Daphnia pulex: one gene and its partner. The protein of the gene in region 2 binds, or shares a complex with, the protein of the main gene of each other region. Links are inferred from orthologs where the notes say so. Each region holds a gene or a part of one and is shown on either strand. Other genes may lie near its edges.

The links.
Region 1: the proteins of GRB10-interacting GYF protein 2-like (region 2) and ATP-dependent RNA helicase me31b-like are in contact, whole or in part, in a crystal structure (PDB 6S8R), measured with the Drosophila melanogaster proteins. The link is inferred for Daphnia pulex from reciprocal best matches to the Drosophila melanogaster genes Gyf and me31B. Residues at the interface, in NP_001162827.1 of Drosophila melanogaster: Glu344, Asn345, Pro347, Glu348, Trp349, Ala350, Ile351, Glu352, Pro354, Ser355, Lys356, Leu357, Gly358, Gly359, Ser360, Phe361, Asp362, Ala363, Ser364, Gly365, Ala366, Phe367, Gly369; in NP_523533.2 of Drosophila melanogaster: Tyr274, Ala275, Phe276, Val277, Glu279, Arg280, Gln281, Lys282, Val283, His284, Cys285, Thr288, Leu289, Ser304, Thr305, Gln306, Arg307, Leu310, Leu311, Lys314, Glu317, Leu318, Phe370, Pro420, Ile421, Lys423.

Annotation. Positions count from the first base shown.
Region 1 is NC_060018.1:12,397,768-12,401,518, forward strand, and holds ATP-dependent RNA helicase me31b-like, read right to left. Parts: upstream 2,532-3,751; coding exon 2,437-2,531; intron 2,374-2,436; coding exon 2,301-2,373; intron 2,239-2,300; coding exon 2,004-2,238; intron 1,946-2,003; coding exon 1,802-1,945; intron 1,744-1,801; coding exon 1,649-1,743; intron 1,589-1,648; coding exon 1,466-1,588; intron 1,409-1,465; coding exon 1,280-1,408; intron 1,120-1,279; coding exon 939-1,119; intron 770-938; coding exon 558-769; intron 494-557; coding exon 428-493; downstream 1-427. UniProt on the Drosophila melanogaster protein: ATP-dependent RNA helicase which is a core component of a variety of ribonucleoprotein complexes (RNPs) that play critical roles in translational repression and mRNA decapping during embryogenesis, oogenesis, neurogenesis and neurotransmission.
Region 2 is NC_060018.1:13,102,081-13,105,682, reverse strand, and holds the end of GRB10-interacting GYF protein 2-like, read right to left. Parts: coding exon 2,686-3,602; intron 2,622-2,685; coding exon 1,260-2,621; intron 1,185-1,259; coding exon 975-1,184; intron 906-974; coding exon 783-905; 3' UTR 560-782; downstream 1-559.

The DNA.
Region 1 (3,751 bases), about 700 kb from region 2:
AATCTCATCTTTTACGGAACCTGCCGCCCTAACGCTTTAGCCTTCGACGTTCACACATCCATTCACGCAAAACATTGTACCCAAAAAAACAAAACAAAAACTTTTCTCCTAAACTGAAAAAAAAACTGGCTCTTCGCCACCGTGAGAATTTACATATTTACAACAGTCTTTCGATAGCGCATGCTTAAAGTTATCCTTGTTTTTACTCTTGTACAATGGTTTTTTTCCCTACATGCTGCAGCACTCCTCCAATTGCTAATGAGTGCTTTTCATTAATTCTGATCTTCAATACATTGGTCCCAGTGAACGACCTTTCATAAATTTCACTTACAGGATTCATTTTCTTTTCTTTTTTCTCAATTTTTTTTTGTGTCCTATCATGACGTTGTGTGATGCATGCGCTTTTCGAAGACATTCTCTCGCCTTTTTACTTTCCTGATTGCTCCTCGGAATCTTCTTGGAACTCGGCCACGTAGAGGGATTTGTCAATGACCTTCATTGAAAAAATAAAACAATGTAAATACAATGAATACTTGCACGAGATATCCAAGACTAACCTTAGGAATGGGCTTGATTTCAGTGCTAAGTTCACTCTCAATGCGATGCAGGGCGAAACGATCTTCATAAGTAATCAGATTGATAGCAATACCCAGGTGTCCAAACCGACCCGAACGACCAATCCTGTGCAGGTAAGTTTCAGCCATCTTGGGAAAGTCGAAGTTGATGACCACGTTCACAGCTTGAATGTCAATACCACGAGTGAACAAATCTGTTATAAAAACGCAAAAGATTAGTTTCAACATCCTTTTCTCTTCTTGGCTTCACATTATTAAATGAATCAGATGTTGATTTTCTTTCAGACGAAAGAAGGGGAATCCAACAAAAAGTTCATCATAACAGTCGAGCACTTAACATTACAAAGATGAAGCAAATCTTACCGGAGCACACGAGGTTACGGCACAGCCCATTACGGAAATCATGGAAGACGCGGTTTCTGTGAGCTTGCTGCATACGGGCATGAATGTAATAGCACGAGTAGCCCAGCTCAGTGATCTTCTTAGCCAAAAGTTCCACACGTTGAGTGGAGTTGCAGAAGATAATACTTTGATTGATCTGCAACTATAATATCAACACAGATATTAATATCGTGACTTTAAAACACAGCAGTTAAAATTAATTCAAGTAAAATCAGGTGTTGATTTTCTCTCAGACGAGAGAAGGGGAATCCAACAATAACTCATCAGTCTTATACTGAAAATCTAAATAAACCTTTACTTACTTTAGAAAACAGCGTATTGAGGCAGTGCACTTTTTGCCGTTCTTGGACAAAAGCGTAGTATTGCGTGACACCTTTCAGTGTTAGTTCTTCCATCAAATTGATTTCATATGGGTTATCAATGTGTTTCCTCTGTGGATACAATCATTGTTAAATCAAGAACCAAATTACAAGAACCAATAAACCTACCATAAACTCCTCGACAGTTACAGGGAAAGTTGCCGAATAAAGCAAAATTTGGCGCTTGGCTGGTAGGAACGAAATTATACGATCCAACATTCCCATGAAGTCTTGAGAGAGCAGTTTGTCAGCCTAGTTACACAAAAGAATAAGAACAATCGTCTAACAGAACTCTTAATAATTCCCACATACCTCATCCAAAACAAGGACCTTACAACGGTCCATTACCGCAATCTTCTTTTCCATCAGATCCAAAACACGACCAGGAGTGGCAATCACAACATGAACTGGAAGAAACAATGATTGTTAAAACTTGCATGGAAGTAAACAAGGAATAATGAATACCTTTTCCAAAGATCCTCATAATGTCATCTTTCAGGTCAGTACCACCAGTAGTCACCATGATACGAATATCCAAATGTTTAGCTAGTTCAATGCAGATTTGGCTTGTTTGCAATGCCAGTTCACGTGTTGGCACAACAATTAATGCTACAAAGAAAAAAAAATTAGGCCCAGAACTGTAAGAAAAACTTAAACTTGTCAGTACCTTGGATGTGTTGCTCAGACGGAACTACTTGTTCCAATACTGGTATACAATAAGCACCTGTTTTTCCAGTTCCATTCTTAGCACGAGCCAGGATATTACGCCCAGTCAGAGCCATAGGAATTCCAACCTCTTGAATGGGTGAAGGTGTCTCCCATCCCTTTTCAAAGATACCCATCAACAATTCACGCTTCAGACAAAAGTCTTCAAAACTTGTTCCCTTAGTGTTGGTAACATCCTGAAATTAAACCAAAAATTTAACCCCCAACTCTCATAGATGTTTGAATGAAAGAATATTACGCTAGTCTGTTTTCTACGATCCTTGGGTGGGATCTTCAACTGAGACTTCCAGAAATTGTCAGAGTTATTCTCTCTAAAATATTAACAAAAACAGTCATGAAATACGAACAAAGAACACATGATTTTTAAGACTTACTGCTTCGCAATTAGCGGCTGAGGACTGGGTCTCATCGGCGAAAGGGCATGATTGTTGGCCACTAAGCTTGGCTGACTAGCAACGGCTTCTGCCATGGTTTTCTCTTCTTTTCTTTTTCTTCTTACTTAACAAAACTTTCGAGCAAAATGCCGAATTCCTTCTTCAACAACGATCACTTGAACTTAAGTTTCTCCAACGAAGGCGAACGATTTCTGCAAACGAAAATAACGTGAAACCAAAGAAGCAGGAACTATGGCTTCAGTCTTCTGTGCACATACAAACGTCGCTTACTAAACCTGAAATAAAATGAGAAAAATCGAATCTGTCAATGGCGGTAAGTCAACAGAATCGGCGTCCATATACACAAAGACTTTTGATCGTGTAACACTGAAGCATTCAATTTCGAATAAAATAAATCTCAGCAAATGACAAACTGACCTAGTAGACCAGTAGTTGAGATATAATAGACAAGTTTTTAAACACGAGCAAGGATGTCAACGGATAAAGAATTGGTTTATCTGAGAAACAGTGTTCACTATGGCGCTCTACGCATCGAAAGCAAAGCAGCGACTGTTTGTGAGTGAGTCAGTCCACAGATAGGGGGAGGGTCGTGACAAACAAGTTAGAGCAAGCAAAACAAAACTTGGATAATATTCAACAATTGACATCACTCAAAATGAAGAAATTAAGAGAAGAAAATATACCAACCTTACGAAGATGTTGACTAAATTGGAAAATAATTAACAAGTGTGTCAATGTTCGGGAACAATGTCTATCTATTTTGCGCGAGAGTCGAAAGGGATCTGAGTAGAGATAGTAGTCGAAGTCTCTGTTTAGTCCTCCTGGTGGCGGTTAGAGGTAATGAAACATCCCTTCAGGGCTTACTCGTGCCTGGCTTAAGGGGGGAGGCGGGAGGATAGGTATATTGAGTTCCACGTCGCCAAATTGTAGAGCATCTAGGGAATTTCAATTATATTAATTCGATAATTTTTATTATTTATTAAATGAATGAAGATCAGGTGTTGTTTAAAAATATCGTTTATTATTTAATTCTCTATCAATAAAAAAAGGCACGTCATAGGGACTAGGCGTGAGTTAATAATCTATAAAATTGCTGCACATCGTGGAGTTAGTAGAAATGCAATAGAAATTGAAGAAACGCATGTGATTGAAACACTCTTTACAAATTGTATAATAGCTTTCCCACAATTCATTAATAGTGGTATGTTATGAAAAAAAGCAAGCAAATAATGGTTGGTGATCATATGAATTGCCTAAGTATCACAAAAATGGAGGAACATGTTGATTGGCTTGT
Region 2 (3,602 bases):
TTATAATTTTATTTCTTTGTGAAAAAAAGCTGCTGCTAAATTATATTTTATCCTTGTATTTTTCTAAATTATATTTCTATTTTCGGAAACTGCTTTTAGCTATTTACCCATGAGAAATCAATAAAACTATTTCATCACGTTTTTCTTTTGAATTGTGGTCAAAATCAATGAGAATATTGAACGAAACATCCGGAAATCTCGAGAAAAAGAATACCCTTTTGGAAACTATCCAACAAAATTAAAGTTACCAAATTTCCCGTGGAAACTCTTAAAATTTTTGTGTTTTGTACGGAAAAAAAACAAACAATCCCACGAAAACATTAAACAAGTTGGCACTCATGCGGTGCTTATACTAATGAACTAAACGTTAAAGGAAATGCTACGAGAATTGAAAAACAATTTTTTTTTAAGATGTTTGTATTTGATTCGTGACCAAGATCAAATTGATATTTTTTGATTCAGTGCCGAAAAATTGTAACAGAACAAAATGTCCAGCCCTGATTCTTTTCTGCTGGTGAGGGATAACGAAAAGAACTTGATCACGTTTATATTTTTGTTAACTTTTATTGCTGCCCACCAACTTTCCACACTCAAGACGTTTTGAAATTGTTGCTGTTGGTGTGTTTGTTGCGTAAAACTTGTTGTGTGTCGACATCTTAATTGTCCATCCCTAAACCCCAATAAACAATAATCATATTGGTTGCTTTATAAGTTTGAACTCGTCTCTTGTCGTGTGTGGTCGTTGATTTTATCTTTTTTTTTTGGCTTTCTTTAACAATGATTCACATGCCGTCCACGAAATCGCGCTCACCGACGTTGATGCGATCCGTCGAAGCAGAAACGCTGAATCCCAACAAACTGGCATCCACTTTCTGCATCTTCTTCTTAGACTTCTTGGATTTAGACTAAAACGGAACATTTTCATTAGTGAAATGGTAGAGACAACGTTTTATCTTTTATTTTTAAATAATTACTTTAACTTCATGGAAGTCAGATGATTGTCCCGGATTTATGGCTTTGGCCGGGATGCACATGTTGTCCTCTTCGTATTGCTGGACGTTTCTTTGCATCTGGCGCCAACGAGAACGTTGATCAAGGAATTGCTTGGCGAACTCTTTGGCGTCTTTGCCCTCGCCAAGATACAAGCGAACATACTCCTGGACTTCAAATGGAGATTCCACGTCCTGTAATAAATGTAATCAAGAAAAAAAAATGTAGTCAAGAAACATTAACGACCCGACTCAAAAGATTAACTGTACCTTGAGAAAGGCGACAAATGTGGGCACATCAATCTGTGCCTGGACTTTCTTCAGGTACTCAAAACACCACTGACTAAAACTATCCTTCTTTTCAGCGGCGGCGGCGGCAGTTTGATTAAACAGCTTGCGAACCGCTTCTTCCTCCTTATTACTGCGGTTCTTGTTGTTCGACGCCGCCGCCGTCGTCGTCGAACCCGACGTTTTGGAAGTGGCCGGTTGTTGTTGTTGTTGCTTAGCTCCCGCTGCTTGTTGTTGCGGCTGCTTGGACGCCGCAGCCGCCGCAGCAGACTTGCCACCACCACCGCCAGCAGACTTGGCCGCCGCTTGCTGCTGAGCCGGTTTGCTCGTGGCCTTTGGAGGTGGAGGGGTTGGATCCTCCCAGAAACCAACCGTCAGGCCAATTTTCCAGTCGGCATTCGTGGTGGTGGAATGATTGGTTTTGGCGGTGGTGGTGGCCGCCGTCGCCGCTGCCGCCGAAGGGGGAGGTGGTGGGGGTTGCTGTTGGGCCACAACAGCGGCAACAGTCCGGCCAGAACTCCAAGCCGAATTACTGTGGTGCGATGACCCCCAAGCGCTGGCTGCCGCCAGATTCAGGTGCGCCATGTTCACCTGCTGGTTGGCCTTTTCTTTGGCTTCCTTCTCCTTTTGCTGGGCAAGTTGAGCTGCCTCCTCGGCCTGAATCTCGGCCAGAGACTTGGCGTTGGATGGGGTCGGAGTGTTTTGTTTGGCCCAGCGGAGCTTAATGGCCGCTTGCTGTTGTTGCTGCTGTAAAAGAGCGGCCGCACGAGCCGCCTGCTCGGCCTTTTGGGCCTGGGCGATTGCCCTTTCTTTGGCTTCCTTTTCTTCCTGCAACTTTTGAATTTCAGCCATGCTCAGCGATTCACCGGTTTGCTGTTGCTGTTGTTGCTGCTGCTGCTGTTGTTGGGCCCACGGAGCCATCATGGCCTGAGCAGCTTTAGCCTGAGCTTGAGCCTGCGCCTGTTGTTGAGCGGCGGCGGCGGCTGCAGCAGCCGCTTGCTGGGCGGCCGCTCTAGCCTGAGCCTGAGCCACGGCTTGCTGCTCCTGAAGCCTCTGAAGGGCTTCCTGCTGGCGGCGGTGTTGTTCGGCCGCCTTCTCCTCCTCTTTCCGGATCCTTTCTTCTTCTCGCCGGATCCTTTCCTCTTCCAGTTGCTGTTGTTTCAACTCCTCCTCTCGTTTGCGCTTCTCCTCCTCGCGCCGCCGCTTCTCTTCCATGGCTTGCATTTGCTGTTGTTGCTGCTGCTGTTGTTGCGCCAGCTCTCTCCTCCTCATTTCTTCCGCTTGCTGCTGTCGTTCCGTCTCCCTTCGCATCTCTTCTATCCTCATCCTCTCTTCCTCCCTCTCCTGCAACAAGAAAAGTTAAAAATTAAAAACACAAACATTCGCAGCTTTATTTCTAAATATTTACTTGAATTTCAAGTCGTCGTCGACGTTCTTCTTCCTCCTCTTTCATCCGCTTCTCCTCCATCTCCCTGCGGTGCATTTCGGCGGCCATTTGCTGTTGATGTTGTTGCTCCATTTGGCGCTTTGCTTCCTCGACCTTGGCGCTTTCAAGATCCCAAACGGACGTCATGGGCGGCTGAAGCTCTGCAGGACCGGCCTGGAAGAGCGCAGAGTGATTGTGCCAGGGAACACCGACGCCAGGAGGCAGTCCATGGAAGCCCGGCGCCACGTGATTGCCCATCACTGGATCAACGATGGTTCCACCAACACTTTGGGCCGCTACATGATTGGCGTTCCATTGAGCTTGTTGGATGAGACTTTGGATGGGATCCAGGACAACCTGGGCTTCTTGTGGTTTAGGGTTATTCATGATGGAGCTGGTAGGAGGTTTCGAAACGACGGCCGGGGGCGATTTCGATTGCCCCAGCAACTGCTGGATAAACGCCTGAATCGGATCATGAGACTTCATCAGGTTGTTGGGATTGTTGGCAAGAGCTGGCTGCTCTAATACTGCTTGCGGTTGCTGATGATGCTGCTGGCTGAGATGGTTGACTAAAGAGTGCACAGACTGCTGCTGTTGTTGTTGTTGCTGCTGCTGATGCTGTTCTTTGCTGCGCTGAAGCTGAATCATTTCAGCTTGGAGTTTAGCTTGAGCCTCCATCTGGAGCCGCAATTGCTGGAGGACAGGATCACCCGGGAGTGGATGCGGCATGTTTGCCATGTGCTGGTTAACCACCTGCTGCTGCTGGATGGGCGACAGCGTGTTCCAGCCTTCCATCTGCGACAATTTGGCAATGATCGTCTGTTGCCTGAGCATGTGCTGCTGCTGCATCATTTGCTGCTGGAACATTTGCTGCTGGATGAGTTGCTGTTGGAGCATCT